4 linked regions of the Drosophila melanogaster genome follow. The protein of the gene in region 1 purifies or fractionates together with the protein of each later gene. This does not show direct contact. Each region holds a gene or a part of one and is shown on either strand. Other genes may lie near its edges. The genes, in order: N, Ser, spdo and Dab.

What was found.
Region 2: the proteins of N (region 1) and Ser purify together in Drosophila melanogaster (affinity purification with western blotting; 5 studies listed by BioGRID). This does not show direct contact.
Region 3: the proteins of N (region 1) and spdo purify together in Drosophila melanogaster (affinity purification with western blotting, with the first as the bait; 2 studies listed by BioGRID). This does not show direct contact.
Region 4: the proteins of N (region 1) and Dab purify together in Drosophila melanogaster (affinity purification with western blotting; 4 studies listed by BioGRID). This does not show direct contact.

Annotation. Positions count from the first base shown.
Region 1 is NC_004354.4:3,132,815-3,138,068, reverse strand, and holds the start of N (notch), read right to left. Parts: upstream 3,200-5,254; 5' UTR 2,402-3,199; coding exon 2,242-2,401; intron 1-2,241. UniProt on the Drosophila melanogaster protein: Essential signaling protein which has a major role in many developmental processes. Functions as a receptor for membrane-bound ligands Delta and Serrate to regulate cell-fate determination.
Region 2 is NT_033777.3:27,191,076-27,195,986, forward strand, and holds the start of Ser (serrate), read right to left. Parts: upstream 3,193-4,911; 5' UTR 2,869-3,192; intron 1,050-2,868; 5' UTR 668-1,049; coding exon 431-667; intron 1-430.
Region 3 is NT_033777.3:30,474,993-30,479,609, reverse strand, and holds spdo (sanpodo), read right to left. Parts: upstream 2,927-4,617; 5' UTR 2,798-2,926; coding exon 1,436-2,797; intron 1,357-1,435; coding exon 1,021-1,356; 3' UTR 761-1,020; downstream 1-760. Other genes in the region: PH4alphaEFB (prolyl-4-hydroxylase-alpha EFB), read right to left, coding at 1-17, 183-491.
Region 4 is NT_037436.4:16,711,875-16,716,860, reverse strand, and holds the start of Dab (disabled), read right to left. Parts: upstream 3,202-4,986; 5' UTR 2,650-3,201; coding exon 2,541-2,649; intron 1,421-2,540; coding exon 1,350-1,420; intron 1,289-1,349; coding exon 692-1,288; intron 631-691; coding exon 24-630; intron 1-23. UniProt on the Drosophila melanogaster protein: Together with Abl, involved in embryonic neural development. May have a role in eye development. Acts as an adapter protein for SH2-domain containing proteins during sevenless (sev) signaling.

The sequences.
Region 1 (5,254 bases):
CGTGCGATGCCATGCCATAGCATATCGTAATTTGATCTTTGAACAAACAGCAAAAAGGACGCGCATGTGCAATATGCCAGGACTCAGGGGTTGCTCCTGCTGCTCCTGCTTCTCCTGCTGCTGTTTCACTTTTGGCTCCAGGAGCCCAGCTGTCGTTTATTCCAACTACATTCTTTCTATATGCGCCTGGTTGTGTACATATATGATGAAATCGAATGCGGTGGTTGGTTCTGGTTCTCGTTTCTCGAAACCGTTACGTGCCACATTAAACCTGCAAAAAAATAATACCCTAAATTTGTGGCTAAATGCAGGCGTTCGATCGCACAAAGTTGAACAAACTTGGATTGGAGCTAATGGGGCGTAAATTTGTGAGAACTTAATAGGTACAAAAATGTACATGAAGATTCGAGAGATTTTTGTTTTTTTTTTTGGTTTTTTTTTTCCATCTTCGAACACTTTTTTCTTAGCGCAGTAGTAGAATGAAGTGAACTGAATGCAAAGGATGCCCTTTTTGTTTTTGCAATATATCCTGGCATCAATTAACACTCTTATTATTACTACTTTCAGCATTTTTTTCACCTTTATATGCATATGCATTTGTATACTTTTTTATACCGTTTATTTAACTTTTACTACAACTTCCTTTGGCTAAAACTGCAAAGATCACACGATTACCCATGGCTAATAAAGCCAGAAAAAAAAAGAGTTTAGGAGGCGGAAACTCGAGCTCAGGAAATGCCCAGGTAAAAGTTATAAACATAATAGTTCAACGCTCTTCGGTTGCAGCTGTTAAAAAATATAAAAAAAATAGCAGAGATCATGGAGTGCGTAATAATAAAGTTGCCCAGTGCTCAGGGATCAAATTTCTAGTAATGATCATTTAATTGCTTTTAAACGTTTGATGGATTGATGGATTTCGATAGATTTTCGAATAATGAAACAACAAAAAATTCTCTGACATTATCAAATTTGTTTCAAAATACTATGATATCGAGCTGCATTCCCCATACTTTCTCATCGTTGAGCCGAGAATTCCGTCGAAGAGATTTCGAGTTCCATGGAAAGTTGACATTTTACTGGGGCAATCGACCCTAAGTACACCTACAACCGATCCGATCCGATCCGATACGATTCGGTGTTTGTTCAGTGATTAGACAACGACCGCTCCATATGCAAATACCCAAGTAAGCCCCATGTGCATGCGGCACAACACAGCGTGTGGAGGAGGAGAGTTCGCTTCCAAAGCTGGAAAGGAAGTTGGCCACTCACTACTAGCGAGCAAATAGCGCAGTGAGAAAACACAAAGGAAAGAGTGCCTAGAGTGCTAGGGGAATGGAAAAACTCGCCTTTTGCCGACGGTAAAAACGGTCTTTCTTGTTTCGAAAAGGTGGGTTTCCAAATCTGAGAGAGCATGCGCAGTCGGCGGAGAGCGAGACAGCGACAGCGATCGAGCGAGAGCGAGAACGAGATCAGCGAGACAACAAGGAGAGAGAGAGAGAGAAAGAGAGAGGAAAAAAAAACGACCACCTGTCCGAAAAGCGACAACAAAGCGAAGCCAAGGAAGACAGCGCAAAAGGAAGCGCGGTGAATACAAGCCATGAAAAGGAAGGCGAAGAGCGAAGAGGAGCTGCCCAAAAGGGAGACAAACGAAGAGGATCGAAAAGGGAATGGAGAAACACAGAGAACGCATTTGGGAGCGGATTCCGACGATTGCGTTTAAAGTGAAATTCTTTAAGGTAGGATTTGCAACAATCCTATAGGCTTATTAAGCAGATTAAGTAGCATCACTTCCTTTTTGGATTACAGTTGCATGGGTTTGCTCAGTCACTTATATGTGTTGCGAATGCATCCGATTTTATAGACCAACATTTCCTAGCTATGCAATGTAGCGATCTATCCAACGGGTTTAAGCGGAACTAGTCCAATGCAAATGTATGTATATTTTGTAATTGCAATTTTAGTTGTTTCATACTAAGTATGCTCCATTTAAAACTGACATCTAAGACCAAACAATTATGCGATTCAGTACTATTAGTTGAGATCCACATCTTTCAGCTATACAAGATCATCTTATCTCATAGTTTTGGTTCTGTAAAAAACCGTTCTTTGGCAAGCGTTTTGGAACGTTTTGAGCCTCCTGGAATTCCAGTTTGTGCACCCACCCTATTTTCGGGCGACCCCGCCTGTCACCCTGCCCTCCCCCCGCCTAGTTGTTCTGATCGGCGTCTCCGCTTTACTCACCAGTTCCGCGAACGGTGTTTGGCAAATTCGCAAACGCCAGCGTCAACAGCAGCAGAGGCAGCGACGCCGGCAGCGACGCAACGGCGTGCATTTTGTTAATCCAAAAACAAATCCAAGTGTTTGGTGCGCGACTGCGACGTCGGCTGCGCTGCGATTGCATTGTAATCCAGTTTTCCAGTTAACCACTTTTCCAGTTTTTCACCTCTACTCGCTTCTCGGTTTCTTTAGCGCTCCTCTTTGGTCTCTCTTTGAGGATATGTTTAACTGCGAGTTTAGGTTTAGTATGCTAGTCTCAGTAGTTTAAGCAATTTTTTGTTTTAGCGCGTTTGTTGTTTTTTTGTTTTTTTTTTTGTTTTTTATAGTTTTGAACTTCAGACTTTAAAGCTTTATTTGATAAACTAAGAGGAGGCACTCTCCCGACGACGGCGACATTTTCCGTTTTGAAACATAAAAAAAAAGTGGCAAAAAAAGAACGCTTTTCGTGTATCTTTTGCTTGCTTTTCTCTTCGCGAGGATCGAGCCACAAATTCAAATTCAAACCGACGCCGCACGCTTGCGTATTGCTCTCTTCCTCTTGCGCTTCTTGCACTCGGCTTTCGTCTCACTCTCACACACGCGCGACTCGAGGTAGATACACTTTTCGAAAATCCTTGTTTCTCTCCCTCTCTCTCTCTCGCTCTCTGTGTCGCTCTCTCGTTGCTATCCCTGCGACAGGCACTCCTTGCTCTTGCTGAACGGCTTTCCCGCTGGGGCCATCCTTTTCATTTCATTGCATTTGCTTGCTGTGTAATTGATTTGTTTGTATATCCTGTTGGCAGCGCGATTTTACGTGCGTTGTTGCACACACATTCAAAAAAAAAATAAATGTTGAGAACTGTGCTCTGCGCTTTCCAGGTTCGTCTGCCTAACGCTCGTCCGCTTTCACAACCGTTTCGTCCACTGGAAAAAAGCGATCTGTTTCAAATCGGCAGTGTGACCGCGTCGGTGCAAGAAAAAGATACCGTATGGCGGGGAGCCATTTTGGCAGCGCGCTCTTTCGCAGCGTTGCGAGATCGGTTGGTGAACAAATAACGTTAGCCGGGCTCCGAGCCGCTTGCATGAGTAGTTTCCCCATTTCGCCGAATGGCGCTTTAGTGCCGTCATAGCGGTATGTAGAAATTACGCTATGTAAAATGTAAAATTCGACAATGTAAGATTCGTAGAAATTACGCTATGTATAATGTAAAATTCGACAATGTAAAATTCGTAGGCACTGGAAAAAAATGTGCATAAATTTGATTGAAAAACGCACTTGTAGCATTTTTTAAGTATTTTATTTTCCTTTTGTTCTCGTATCTTTATTTCAACTAATTTGAGTTGTTCTCGACTTAAGTTAGGTTTTCCCGCAATACGTTCTTAGTTTTCATTTTCCGTACCTTTTTTTTTCGCAACTCCGCTTCCTGCAATTATCATACTTTACTTGGCTTAATAGGATTTCATTTGAATTTCATTTCGTTTCGTGTGTAACGTCTATATAATTGAACGCTTAATTGAATCGTTTGACAATTATCGAAAACAAAAAAAAATATGTAACACCATACTTATCTCCGATTTTCGGAACGCTATCCCAGTTAAAAAGCTCGGCGCAATTGGCCCACGGAAAGAATAGAATTAGATTCGAGTGTATAAATCAGTTTAAACGAACGGGCATTATTTTTAAGCATTTTCAGAATTACTTTAGATAAATACATACATATGTATATTCTCGAAAGAAACAAAAAATAAAATATGAAACAATAAATTAGTTAATTAATTACAGTATTGGCTTAGTGAATTAAGAACCCAACGAGGAATCATAAGGCAGCATTTCGTGTTAAAAATTGAACGCTTTACACTTAATTGCGTTTTTTTTTTTTTTGGTAGATCGCTCAAATGTTTTACAAATTGTTTCTAAGCTTTTTAAGTTTTTCTTTTTACCTTTAAAATTCTTCATTTACGTCTATAAATAGGCTTAAACCTAAACTAGGCAGACAAAAAAAAAAAATTACAAACATTCTCTCTAATCTTAGCTAGTCATTTTTTAATTCAAGCGTTGACATACACATTTATGCTCTATATATATATATATATATATATATATACGATATACAATATTTCATTTGCTTCTTTACATAATTGATTTAAGTTCAAATATCATTTACGCGCTTAGGGCTAGACAAAAAAATATTCAACTTTTCACATGGATGCTGAAATGCTGTGCCACTGAAAACCCGATCAAAAAGTTGGAAAGTGGGAACTATATATATATATATATATATATATGTTGGTGGTTTTTCTAATTTTATTCACTTTACTCGTAAATCACCAATATTTGGACATCTTTTTGTTTTTAGTTTTTTGCGGCTTGGGGATTATCGATTAAATTGCAATAATACTGTAGCATCCCGTAAAAATATAGTTTTCAATTCAATTTCAATTTTGTTTGTTTGTGTGCAAAATAATAGTTATATATGTTACTTTTGGCTCTTCTTGACCGGGTCACAGATGCAGCACAGCACTTAATCTAAATATTTTCTCTCACTGCATTCAGTTGGTTTCGTTTGATGTATACGTAATTAAGTCTAAAAAATTTGATAAATTTTGGCTTAGAAAATTGTTTTTGCTTTCTGCTGCTGCTGCTTTACTTTTCATTTTCGTTTGCTTTTATATTATTATTATTTTTGTTTTTTTTTTTAGTTCCAACTAACTACACAGGCTTTTTGTTTTGTCATAATGTATATAATTGAATTGATTTTCGGTTTCGTTTTAAAATTGTATGCAACACGCTGTTTAAAATGAACTTTTCAAGTTTTGTAGTTGTTTTGTGTTTTTGTTTTTACATTTCTGTTCGATACGCGTTTCGTGTTTAATTGATATACGATTTTTTACTCGATAAGTAGCTTAAGATTTGCACTAGTTGATATAATTTGCCGCTGCGAAACTCATCGAGCTCAGCCATAAAATAATTAACGCTATAAATCACAATACGGTTTTT
Region 2 (4,911 bases), on another chromosome or scaffold:
GATACATTAATTGAACAGGGAAAATATATCCTCTATTTTAATCTCAGCATTTTCAATCTTATTAAATAACTTAAGACTGTAAATGATTTCTGTTTTTTTAACGCGTTCTACGAATCTTGTTTATTGACATATGCTTGATTTACTGCTTTGAGAAAATTCCAGCGTAAGAGCTCTCATTAAAGACAGCTCTTCGGGATGCGGAGTTGATAAATCACTCAAAAAAATAAACCCAAAAATCATCATTATTTACGTCCCCCATCAAAACTTTGCCCTCAGCCATTGCCAATTCGCATGGGTTGAATCAACTTTGTCTGTTTTCTTTTGGCCTTTTTGACGAGACACTACACCCGCATGTATTTGGATCTGGGGCTTTTTGCGATTATTGCTTTGGGGATTCGATCGTTTTTTGCATGTTGGTTGGTTTGCTTACCTTATGGACTAACAGTATTAAAATTAAAGCAATTAAGTTGCAGGCAGACTTTAATGATCGACAATCGCGGATCGTCGATGGCAGGGTCGCGATTTTGGGTACCCGATGCCTCGGACGCTGCCTTTTTGTCGCCGTCTTCTTGGACATTCCCAGGCTGTCTGCTGATTCTATTGTTGACTCCAACGACGACGACGTAGCTGGTTTTCGCCGAAAATGTTTCCTAAACATTTTGTACATTCTGGGGGCGTTTGCGAGCGTGATGCTGGTTGGCGATCTAGATGGAGTTTGTTTCGGATTCACTCTGGATTGGCACCACACAAATGTAAATTCGCTGGGCAGCCTTAATTAGCCCATGTATGCAGATTTTGGTGCCTTTGTTTGTTTCTATTTTGCCACACTACACTTGCTCTGGATAGCTGAATAACTGGCCGTACTCTGGATGCTGTATCATTTTCTCCACTTTGCCTTCGTTTTGTTTGGTTTTGTTTGGATAATGTTGTTATCACACACAATTATTATTTATTATTTATATGGACCTTAGTATGTGCTTCTCTCGTTTTTGTTTTGTTCACACTTGACACTTCCACTTGATAGGCGCTGATGTTTTGTAGATCTTTAGCTGTAACAATTGTCGAACGAATTGGAATTGAAACGGGCTGCGCAAAATCTATTTCACTGTGCATCATCAACGCTAATTGACACGCAGATGATGCTGCTGCTGCTGCAGTTGCAGTTGCAGTAGCGGCAACCGCAGCAAGCCGCAACAAGTGCCACCAGCCACCGCAGCAACATTTACTTTTGCCAGACCGCAAAAAGCGGCAACGTGCAGCAAATGCAAATGCAATTCAATTTATGTTAATTTAACGCTGTTACTGCCGCTGCTGATGTGGCTGCTTCTGCAGTTGCTGCTGCTGCGACTATGGAGCCGTGTCTTTGGCCACAAACAATTTGCATCTTGTGCGCATATTAATTTACAGATATTTTCACTCTTGCTCACATTACTCATTCTTCCCACCCTGCCGCTGCTTTTGCCATTCCGGCCATCCTATCCTCCCATGGCCTTTAGCCCCCCAGCCCGCCCCGGTTCCTCCTGCTCGGGTGTTAATTGTCCATTTAATTAAGTAATTTGCTTGGGGCCTCCTCCCGGCTTTGGCACGGAACGGAAGTCGTTGACTTTGAATCGAAACCCAGATGCTGCCGCTCTTGCTCATGCTGCTGCTGCTGCTGCCGCTGATGTGGATGTTGCTGCTGCTGCAGGGCATGACCGGAAGTGGCTTTTGCAAGTGGATGATGCAGCTACCTCCCCCTTAATACCCCCTAATACCGCTACTTTCACTCTTCTCTCTTGGCAATTTGCAAAACGATGAATGAACTTCTAGCGGCCTCAAAACTTTAGTATACCGTGTATCCATTTCTATTTCTAGTAACTTCTGGATATACTCTGATTTATCAAATAATTGTGCAACCAGATCACCGTCTTGAACTTAACGATCTGAATAAGCTTTGGACCGTGCTAGATCCGTTATTCGTTGCATATGGTAAATCATTGAGCAGTGCATCGAGCATTTTCCGCGCTCTCTTGATCAGGGGCTTTCCCATGCTCGTACCACCCATTCAGAACCAAACTGATTTCACAATCTCTCTTTTCTCCCGGTGCACAGAAGAAAACTACACTACTTCATCTATACGGAAAGTTCTTTAACTTTCTAATAAAACATTTGTTATTCAATTCAAAATTCTTTAAATTTAGAAAAAAAAATCCGTGTTAAGCATCGCTTTTAGAAAGTCAAATACTTTCAATAGGTTGTTTGGGAATCCCACTTATTAAGTTCTAGTGGAAATTTCTCTATGTGCGCCCATTATTATTATTATTTGTATTATCTGCGTGCATTATGAACTAGTCGGATGTTTTCATTCTTTCTCCCTTTCACTTGGCATGTTTCAATTCCACTTCGTAGTTGTAGCTTCGTGTGTTTGTGTCCCTGTTTTGCGTCCCTGTGTGCGTTATCAATGGAGCACACTGTGGCCAGCGATTCCCCCGGAATGGGGCACTCGTTTTCGCATATTCACATTGTTTGCACTTTTACTTTTCGCCTTTGATTAAACACAATTTTGACGGCATTGTATTTTGATATATTAATGTATTGTATTTAATTGAAAGGTATTTCCGTTTTCCTTAGCTCACACGATCTGGGCTCAGAAATTAATCACACACTATGGAAACACACACATAGCAAAATGTCGGCTGATTGTCGATCTTTCGATTTGCTTTTCTTCCACCGAGCATTTGTAGTTGATTGCTCTTCATCATTTGTTGTAATCAGCAAGCAATTTAATTCGATTGCGGCACATTAAACACTTTCACAATTGTTATATGGATGATGGTCGGTGGCGTTCAGTTTGGGTGCACAATAATCCAATTCGAGGAGGGGTTTTACCGTTGACAGAAAAGGGGCTCATCACCGCTCGAAGCACGGCGCTCGACTAAACGCGTTAACCGAATCCTGCGGCATTTCCAGCCCTCGAGCAGCATCCATTCACGGGGCGGAGCAAGTCACGCGAGAGAGCTGCGGTTTTGGTGGTGGTAAAGGTGGTGAGGTGAGCTGTCGCTGCTGCTGCTGGTGGTGGTGGTGGTGGTGGTGATCTGCAGTCTTAAGAGAACTGTGGCTCGGTCTGAACCACCGAAACCGCTTTCAAAATAAACTGGCGACGACTTCCGCTGAGTGCTGCGTGCGCTTCAGGCTTCGACTAACGACTGATTGCCTCTGGGCACAAGTTGCCGTCGATCCCGAGAGCTTAACTCGCAGCGATTCTCTCTGTGCTTCTCTTTGAAGAAAACCAGTTTGCTCTTCGTGCAGTGCTCTTTAGCCAGCCGCTGATTGGTCGTACGACTGTATATAGCCCCGGGGCCCGGAATCTGAATCAGAATCGGCAGTTAATGGAGTTGCTGCCGCTTCGGCTGCTGCACGCATGCGCGCCCGAGGCTCTCGGCTGCCGTTTTTTACGATTCCAACTTAATTATGCCAATAAGTGCATTCTGGGGCTGTGTGTGTATGTGTGTGTGTGCTCCAGATCTAGTAGCTCCAAGGGACTGGCAATTAACACCTAATATGAAGGAACGCTCCCACAATCTTTAACGGCTGGGAACCAAATCGAAAGATACTAGCATCGGCCAATTATTAACCACACAGACAGAGCGGCGACTTCCATCCAATTATCTGCTGGCCAAAAGTGTATAAATCAAATTTAAATGCAACTGGCCTATCAGTGCAGCCAAAACAAAAGACTTAAGCAACAAACTTGGCAATTACATGCGGCCAACAAGACAGGCGGCAGCATCTTTGTTGTTGCTGCTGCCTACCTTACTGTTGTTGTTAGCGGCTCATATTTCTTGAGGCGCATATCTAAATATCGAATCATGTTGCTGATTTTCCATTGTCTGCCCACCACAGCAACAACAGCAGCAGCAACAACTGCTGCTGCCTCAACAACTGCAACAACACATAGTAAATCTCATTGTGCCGTTGTGACATGACTCTTGTTCGACAATAGATAAAACAAATTGACTTGGTGTGTGCCCAAAATGTCTTCTCTAGCCGTCTCCCTGGCCATTTGGGTCTCCATCCTCCTCTATTTGGTGGGCGTACTGGGCAGCGGTCTCCCAGCTCCTTTGTCATCTTTTCTCGCTTAAAAAAAAAGAAGAAAAAAAAAACAGAAGAAATGGAAGAAAAACTGCACTACAATGCCCATTATCAGCTTACATATCTGCGACAAGAGACCCCAGAGCGGCAATTGTACGGGCCACCGAGACGGCAACGGCAAAGGCAACTGCCAGCGGCAATGGCAACGGCTTCGTTGTCCAAATATGTTGCAAGTTGGTGTTATTCTTCACACGGCATCATAAATTTCACGTATAATTGACGCTTTCAGTTATATCAAAATTGGCTAAAAGGCGACGACCAGCTTTGCGTTGGTGGCCAGCAGACTACAGCCTTCAGCCATCAGCCTCCAGAGACTTCGAGCTGGTGCTCCCCAGAGATATTATTTTTGCTCACTGTGGCTTACATTGTTTTCGTTTTGATTTCAACTAATAGCAGACAACGACTTACAGGTGTCTTTGTGCGCGTCTCTCATAATTTGGGGGCACTCTGTGTTGGCGGCTTGTTGGACACTTGTTCGGGTTTGATGGCATTTCTTTTTTGGGATTAGCTTTCGTTTTCCGGCCAAGTGTTTTTGTGTTTTTTGGTTTTACTGTCACATGTAACAGCTGCAAAAGTGGACCAGAGCGGTGGCATAAATCCATAAAATCAAACATATTGAGTAATCAAAATGTTAAACCCACCCTCTTGACAAAGGTTCACCCCCTCAAACCAAAAAAACCCTCGTTGGGCGAGTTCATTAAACAAACAGGCAAATATGTTGGCAATTTCAACCAGTTGGTTTTACACCACTCAACATTTTATGACAGATTTTTCAAGTGT
Region 3 (4,617 bases), on another chromosome or scaffold:
CCGAGGACATTTCCGTGCTGCGGGATAATAAATTTGGTCAGTGAGTATCCCAGGGACTTGGCCGCTCCACTTCGAGAAGTTTATTTTTTTGGTAACCAGAAAATCGATGACTGTGCTCAGCTTTGTATAGCTCTAGCTTACTTCCTTACTTCTCGCATGCATTTAGTTGGACAAAAACTTACCTGTACTGAATGCCATTCAGCTTGCCCCTCGCCACACTCGAAGTGTCCAGTTGGTAGGTGTCTTGCAGGCGGAGCAAGGCCACCGCCGCGCCATTGAGGTCCTCGTCGGAGGGGAACTTCAGGAGGCTGCGATACTGGGTGATGTTCTGCAGGAAATCCGTGCCCACGTCGTGCTCCATGAGGTTCTCCACCTGACGCCAATCGGTGGTTAGCCGCTTAGTCAGCAGGTACGCATTGATTGGATTGGATACATAGGCGGTTATATCATGGGAGGCATCCGAGTGCTCCCTCTGGTACTCGTCCATTTTGCTGCAATTTAAAGAGAGGGCAAAACTTAGTAGACAGAAGAGCAAAACACATTGCTTTAAAATATGCACCGTATTTCAATAGTTAAAAGGTGCTGAAAGCTGAAAAATAATTGTTTACTCAATTAAGTTAAGTATCACGACGCTGAATCTATAATTTTAACACTCGACCTATATTTGAAAGTGTTTATTCACCATATATATATTTTTGATTGTTAAAGAACTAACCTAATTGAACACTTTAACCATTTCCTTATTGATACAAAATGCTGTGCTGGTATCTACGTGCCTTTATTTTATTCTTATTCCATAACATACTTATACTTAGGTGAACAATAAGTTAAGCAAACTAAGTGTTAGCAATAGGTACAACCCACTTGTTATATACAGTCGTTTGGGGGATGATGATCTTCCGCTGATTATAAATCTAATTCTTGTTTTTGGTCTTTTAGCCGTTCGGTGTGTCAAGTTCTTGAATTCGAAGTGGATGGTGTACAACTAATTAGAGTCTAGGATTAACTATTTCCAGGGTATTAGACCACGTTGACGCGGTTGTCTGGCGGAGGTCGGTGGCACCACAAGCTGCCCAGCACTCCCAATCCGATGAAGAACATGGTGAAAGTCGACAGTCCAAGGATGACGCCAGTGGTCACATCGTGGACAGGAAATCCGGGGAAGGGGTCCACCACGAGTATCACAAGCAATCCGCAGGACTTGAATAGGCAAAATACGGTGACCAGGATATAGCCGGAACTATAGCTCCTGTTCGGCAGCCACTCGCAGTGGCGCGACTTGAATCCCAGGAAGCCGAGTCCCATTCCGGAGAAGGAGGCCACCAGGCTAAACTGCAGGTAAAAGGACTTTCCGAGCTGTAGGCGAAGAAAAAGTGTTATTCAAATGTTTCCATGGACAAAATGAATATCTTTAAAAGTATTTGAGAGTACTTACGTGTGCTATCATGTAGATGATGAGCCCCGCATTCATGGTGCTGCCCAAGACGAGCATCAGGGAGACAACGGCCAAGGTAATGGTGGCATTGGCCATCTTCTGCGGATAGGAGCTGTTTTTCTTGCCCTTTCCCTGGATGCTGCTCATGTCCTGTTCCCGTTCCTGCTCCTGCCCCTGCTCCTGGACCCTGGGACTGATGACGGCCATGGATCGATCGGCGATCTGCATGGGAAGCGGCTTCACGGTCTCGTAGTGAAGTCTCTGGGGGGAGAGTCGATTCTGGCGAAGTGGCAAGGTTGGAGGGACTCCTACTACCGCTCCAACTTGTTGGCTTTGGTAGATCTGTTGGCTTTTGTAGATCTCCAAGCGCCTTTCCAGCTGCAGCTGCTCGTGGTGGGCGGCGTTCCGGGGCGTTGAGTGCGCCAATCGCGGAGGCGGCTGCATCTTCCTGGGCGTGGTCAGGAGCTCGTGCAGGGCCCTCGTAGCGGCAGCCGCATTCTTTTGCTGCGGCGTTGAGGTCCTCGCTGCGTACTGCCTGCTCAATTCCATGTTGCTCAGGCAGGTTTCCTGCTGCTCCTGCTCCTCCGCCAGATCATCGTCGTCCGCATCCGTGGGCACCACTGCATATCGATGGGCGCGGCCATTGTGCATCTGTATGATCTCCTGGTTCTCGTCTACCAGCTCCTCGTCCTCGGCGGTGGGCACCATCTGGTACCTCTGGTTGCTATTCTTATCCACTATCAAGAAGGTCTTGCTGCCGAAGTCGCTACTAAAAGCATGCTTAATCTGGGTTTGATTGGCATTGGTATTGTTGTTAATATTCCTGGGCTTGGGCGGCAAATTAAGTATCGGTGGCAAGCTGGCAAACTGGGTCTCCTGATGGGGTTCCTCGTGGAAGGAGTGAGGCTCCTCCTCTTCGTGCAATCCATGTCTGGAGCCATAGCGATCCAGATTATCCTGTGATCGGGCCAGTCTCTGTGCCGCCTGTCCTGGAACTATGGCGTATCTACTGGCCCTACTGCTGTTCAGTTCCTCTAGGGGAACCAAGGCATAGCGACCACTAGAGGATTGCGGCTGGTGTTGCTGCTGCTGAGCCAGGTGTTGCTGGTGTATCTGCTGTTGGTGTTGCTGCTGCTGCTGCTGCTGGTGTTGTTTCCGCGTCACCGATCGCGTGGACATGCTACGCTGCATTCGCAGTGGACCCTCGCGGGGATCTCGAGTGGCGCGCGGAGGAGCCGCTCCAAAGTTCATCTGGAGGCTTCTGTTGTAGATGGACTCCACTCGCGACGAGTTGCCGCTGGGCACCGGGTAATACTCGCTGTTCTGGCAGAAGGCCGGGTTCGTATAGTTATGCTGCGACATGTTGGCACTGTACTGGTGGCAATTCCACAACCTCTTAGGGGTGTTCTTTCACTACTTTGGGTTTTCTTTGGGTTCGTAGCACTGTTCACGATCCGCTCGCCTCGGCAACTGCGACTCGACTGATCTAGAGAGCCGTTCCAGACGGCAGCTCCTCAACTTCCTCCACTTCCTGCGCCGGCGCGCAGTCGAGTGGATCGTGCTCCGATACGAGTCCCCACCCCATAAAACACCATTTACTTGTACATAAGACACCCGTACACCCGTACAATGACCGACTGTGTTTGGCGCGTTCCATTAGGCCATTGGAACCGAACCGAATGTGAAAACCCAGAAACATCTGCTCCTGCTGCTCGACGAACGAACGGGGGTTGAAACGCATTTCACTTCCAACTGAGACGTCTCAACGCGATCCTAACCAAAACCTAAAAACCCCTGGCGAATTGCAGGAGCAGCCGGCGTTTTATTCGGTTCGCGTTTATCGGCGTTTTTAATTCTTATTTACCAACTCATATGCGCTCCCTTGCGACTTTAATTCTGTTTTGCTACCACTTAGTTGGCGAGTTGAGGGGTATGATGAATGTGTTTTAAATCCACCTAAGATTATACTCGAACATAACCAGTGTAGAGCAGATCATATCAGCACACTGTCATCACCGAGAATTCAACATAATTTAACTATCATAAAAGTGTTTTTTCTTTATTATAATCATATAAGAACTAGTTGTTCTTGTTCCTTTTGTTCATCCGCTGCTTTGTTTCTCGACCGAAATATTTAAAATAGTTTATTGTTTGTTGAAAACATATCGTGCTTTTATTATATATGGTTAGCATCCGTATATCGGCACCATTAAAACAAACTTTTAATGAATGCTTTCACAAAACAGTTTAGTTTAATATGCACATATTTCTGACGTAAAAGCGTCAAGCCATAAAGTAGAGCTTAGCTTCAGTCAGAAAGAAATGAAACAAAAGAACTTAAGAGATTAAATTATTTCACTTCGCTTATTTATTTTAAGGGGTACCCTTCAGTCGCGCTTGCTTCTTAAAAATAATCCTTGCTCAGCTCTGATGTTTGTGCAGACCAAAAACCTTCCCTAAAGGCAGCCCTCCCCGGATTTTTGTTGCCCAAGCGACCGTTACATTTGGTTGTCAGAGAAAAACGATAAAAAACGAAGAGTTCGTGGGTCAACTTTATCCGGATTTCGCCTCCCACGTGCATACATATGTACATGCCTTTGAGCCCGCAGGTTGGATGCACGCGTGTTGTCCTTTTGTGGTGGCCAACTTAATTGCCTTTTGGCCAGAAGCAAATCAGCGCAGCCGGGGGCATTTGTCAAGCGGATTAGCCAGAAATTGGAGGCACCAACAGCTGGTCGGTGGGAAAATTTAAGATGCATATAAAGTTAAACGCCGGCAGACGGCACGCGACTAGAGTGCGGGGTTTCTGCACAGTATCCGAAGGATACTCGGATGCAGATACTCAAAGGCAGGGGCAATGACAGCGCACAAGGATAACAGACAGAGACGGCAGGCACACAGCTGTCAGCTGTTTGCGAGGATCCTGTCTCGTCCTTTGTTGTGACACAACCAAGGTACAAATGCAGGAACAGAAACTCAACTAAACTCAACTGAACTGAACAGCAGAGAAACAGCCGCAAAGATAGATCCTGAATCCTGAGTCCTGAGTGCGACTGGCATTATTTGATTAGGGGAGTTGTCTCACCGCATCCTGCACCCTGCTCTCTCCCCCATATTATTTCCGCTGCCAGTTGTCATATATATACGCCACATAGATCCCCTTCGCATATAAGCAAGAGATA
Region 4 (4,986 bases), on another chromosome or scaffold:
GAGCGATGCTCTTTTCAACTCACCCAATGACAAAATGGTGGAGGTCTGTTCCTCATTTCCCAAGGCCGTACTTAGTCCAATATCCAGATCAGCCAGAGGTCCAGATCCTGCAGCAACCTCCGTCAGTTGTTGGGTGGGAGTGGCCGTGGATTCGCTGGAGGCCAGCGGAGCCATGGCCAAAACCGAACCCAATCCACTGCTGCTCACCACTTTGGACGTGTCGAAGACATCATTTTGTTGGTCCAGTTCCTGCAGCCAGTTGTCATCGTCGTTATCTGCAGCCTGTAGTCCAGCGGAGGCTGAGCCGTGGGAGCTACTTGTACCAGGAGGTGGCGAAAGCATTGCATCCAAACTGGTCACCGCATCAGGTGTTTTGTTGGGCGGCTTGTGCCTGTTGCGTCCGGAATCAGGTGGCGGTGGCAGTATGCTATACGAGGGCACATAGATAAACGAGTCTCCGAAAGGATCGTCCTCGCTGGCTGATTTCGCTAGAGATGGATGGCCAGCACCACCAGTGCTACTGGTGGTCGGCTCGTTTGGCGTTATCCGTTCCATCTGACTGATTCCCCGCTGAAGCGAGGTAAGCTCCTGCTCCAAGTCCACAAGATCGGCCACGGATTCCGGAGAGACCTATAAAATATAGTGTTGTAATGAAAAATAGTTTGAAATAGCATATGACTGGGTAACGAACCTCTTTGGCCGCCGATCCGGATGCCTTGGCCACGTCAAGACTCACGCCCAGCCTGCTCGTTCCATTCGTGGTGCTAAGACTACTGCCCAGCAGGGTGAGGGCATGGCCGGATGAGATTCCTCCGCTGGCCAAATCCGAGTGGCCCAGACCCATGCCACCCAGGCCGGAGGACTTCAGCGACGACAGGGAGGCCAGCTGGCTGGAATGGTCGTGCAGGGACTTACCCTGGATCTGCTGGCGCGCCATCTCAATCTCCTTTTTCTTTAGCTCGAAAACTACCTGGAAGAGATCGCGCATGGCCAGCACCACCTGGCTGGCCGCCTTGTCCGTCTTGATGCCGAAGAACCGGTGACCACTGTCCGGCGATCCGAAGATATAGCCAAAGGCCCTCGAGTCAGTCATATCCTGCGCGATGAAGGAGATCTTATGCACCGGATGATGGTACAGGGAGTCACCCGTTTTCTCATCCCTCAGCCGCAGACCATCGATGGTCACATGGATGGTTATCCGCTGCTTGTGCTCTCCAGCCGCCCGGATGGCCATTTTGAGATCTTGCAGCGCCTCCTGGCACATCCGATCACCTCGGGCCTCGCCCACCTTAAATTTCGAAAGATCACAATGTTAGATACTGAAATTTATCCAAAAAGTAAACTCTTACCTCCAGAATGCCGATGAGCTTTGCCTTGAACTGAACGCCATCGCCGAAAAAGCGTCCCGGATCATTGCGATCTGGAAAATGAGCCCAAGAATCGAATGCCAAAATGAGTCTTTGTGTTTGTTAAGGTGTGTATTCGGATAATTTTGGTTTGGCGAAAATGTTTTACAGAGTGTAGTGGTCACTCGTCAGTTTTGGAAGCCGTGGGATTTGGGGTGTGGCTGATTTATTTTGAGAGAACCCACATTTATGAACGTTTTTATTTAGCACTGTTACAAATTTTGGCAACATTTCAAAAAATTTAAACATAAAAAAGTTACAAAAGGAGTATTTAGGAAACGGAACTATAATATAATTAAACCATCTAGTCCGAAATTAAAAAGAAAATGCTTTAATATTTGCAATATAAGATGAAATGGCAAGCAAACTAATTACTCATTAGTTTATCAAAAGAAGTATAATCCATTTCGACAAAACTCTATGGATTGTGCACAAATCTGGGTTTATTGGACCGAATCCCCATTAAAATATTTTGAATGATTCATTTTTCAAATTTTTCGAGTAATTATGTGCTTGAATGAACACTTGTGTTCCTCGTTGGATCATCCAATATTTAAAATGATGCTTTGATGGAATGCAAAATCTATATGGATTATATATTTTTTATTGTGGTATATCAAATTTGAAATTTTAAAAATCTTCATTCAAGATCAAGAAGACTTTCATTGTTCTATTCAATATTTCGCATCACTTTTCATTCCTTCCGCTGGGAACTATGATTTAAAAACAGTTTTATTATTTCTTTGCCTTCCGAAGCATCTTTATTACAATTTTATACTGAATGCTAAAACAGTTTTGAACGTCTAAGTAGAATTTAAAAGATTTTTAAACATGTATGTACACTGAAAAACTTCTTCTGATCATCTTCTTTATCTTCAGATTTTTTTATAAAGAACTCGATTCTTTGAATATCAGCATTTATTGTATTAGTAAATCTCAATTTGCTATAGTGATAGGACCAATATTGATTTTTTATATATAGCTTCGTCTTATCAGCACAATATCAAAAAAAATTTTCACTGTGATCTTCGCATATGTTTGTATCTTGGTTTTGTTTGCCCTTTCTCACTGCGGAGGGGCCACTGTGTTCGTTTGTTTGTTATTTGTGTATTTGCTTAGTTTGTTTTCGCTAACGTTTTGCGTAATTCGTTTCCTCTGCCGCGCCGCTGCCGCCGCCAAAGGTGCTGGCCAACGAGAGATTGGAGGAGGCTGTGGACAACTTGGCCACCAGGGACTTGACCATGTTTCGCCCGGCCGAAGTCTCAGTGGGTACTGCTCCTGCTCATTGGGAAAACGCTGGCTGGAAAAACTCTGGAATTCTGGAACTCTGGTCACCGAAGTGTCAACAGAATCAGTGTAGCATTCCGGGCCTCTCTGTTGTGTGTGTGTGTGTTGACATTTCCATTGGGACGCGGACGATGACGAGAGGGTGTTGGTGCTGGAGGGGGCACACAATGGGGGACAAACAATACATAAATTCCACAACGATTTTTCGCGACGCTATAGATTTAATTAAATTCTAGCGGAGAACGATGCGCGATCATGGAATGAATAAAAGCGAATGAGAGCGTGGAAACGATTCGAATGCTCTCACGGTGACTCTCTTTTTCGACTGGACTGGATTGTCGCAGTTTGTTCAATTGAAATAATAAACAAAAACACACACACACACTCTTTGAGGCACTCGTGTGTACACATAGATTTCACTCTATTATTTAGTGATTTTTGTGGCGCAAAATACAGTACAGAAAACGAGCAGCTCTCTCGGCCATTGTTGATCTTTTTTGGGAAAACTGCAACACCTGCGACGCCGGCGCAGCAGCTGCTATTCGATTGGCGGATGCTGTCTGAGACGCTTATCGATAAGCCGGGTCTAGCATTGAATCGAGGGATCGATCAATAGGATATATCGGAATTTGAAAAGCTAGCTTCGGCCAGAAATAAACCTAAAACGTTTAGTTTTACTTAATGGTGAGGAATTTACTTTGTCCCTGCTCATAAGTATGATTAGCTTTTTAAGTAAACAAAGGAGAACGCTATGGTCGAATTACGCAGATAATAGAAGTGCGAGGGAGATGCAGGAAGGAAAGTAGAAAAGTTGACTGACAAAATATTTACCACCTAGAAAAGGTCTATCATGTCTCTACAACATGGCGTATGAGTGTAATTTGATATGCAGTGCTGTTAAAAGGGCAAAGTATCTTTAAAGAGAAACAATTTAGGACAGTTTTTCTTTTACTGATTTCAGAAATATTACTTTAGAACTTCGAAGTAGGGATGCCTGTGTTCAAAATACATAATATACCCTAATTCAATTGACAATACCAAATAAATTCGTTGTTGACATAAAACACTGCAATTTAAATCAATGTGAATGGCTTGCGTTTTTAGTTGATAATTTCATCATTCCTCACTAGCAAAAATTTCAAGAAAAAAAATTTCTTCCCACAAGAAGAATTACTTTAAAAAGACTTTATAGATGAAAAAATTCCGTTTTAAGGTGTTATTTGTATTACTTACATTTACAAGGACTCGTTTTCTTGCGCAGCGTCTGCATTTTGCTCAGAAAAAGCTGATTGGCATTCGTGTAGTAATTCCTTTGGCCGCGTATAATGTTGCGAATAATGATTGAGCCTTAAAGAGCTTTATTTATTTATGATTTATTGGACTTCCTTCGTTGTTTTATTGCTAATTGCCTTTTGTGATTTGTTTACACTTGTTTCGCTCTTTGCGTCTTCCGTCTCTTTCGCACTCCCCAACTTCCTGACAGTCAGCGTTTTGTTGTTGTTGTTATTGTGCCAGTCGGTCGATAGAACACACCGGCATTTGTCTCACTCACACTCGCACGCGCTCACACGGACACGGCACGGATTATCGATTTTCCAACGGGGGCCTCTGTGTGCGTGTTTACTTCCACTTTGCCTACTTTAAGGCGTTGTGGGGGGTGGGAAAGGGATGTAGCTACGCCTTTCATTATGCAGCGGTAAGCTATCTAACTTCAATTAACTGTTATTCGTTGTTTTTGATCCTTTCCCGTCTTAATATTGCACAACACGCGCAGCTTTCTTTGTCTGGCAGCCAGGAAAAAAAGTGAAGCACAAAGAAGTGGGTGACACACTCGTGATTTTGGCTGAGCGAAAAAACCAATTCGACTCTTTTGGCAAATATTTACAAGCTGATTTTTACGTTCTTCCTGCTTTGCATGTTATTGGCCATTAATTTAACCCAATTTGAATGGGTTTGTAGTTTAATTTGGGTCCTACGCCCTGGGAGCAGCAGGATATGCACACACACCGAAAATTCGATAGTAAAACTCCAAGGATTCGAGGGTGGTGGGTCAAGTGCCGCGGGCACCCTGTACGCCAGCCGGTACATAGGCTATCGGTCTATCGACGACAACCGATAGGTAATTGCTCGTACTTGCGGTACACACAATTACATATGTTTATACAAAGGTTTGACATAAATTGAAACTATAATAGTAAATTTCTCTGTTAAGCTTTGATAGAAAAAAAAAATGTAAAGATTTTATACCAAGGGTACCTTAAAGTTCGATTAGCTATCAAGATATTATGTCGTT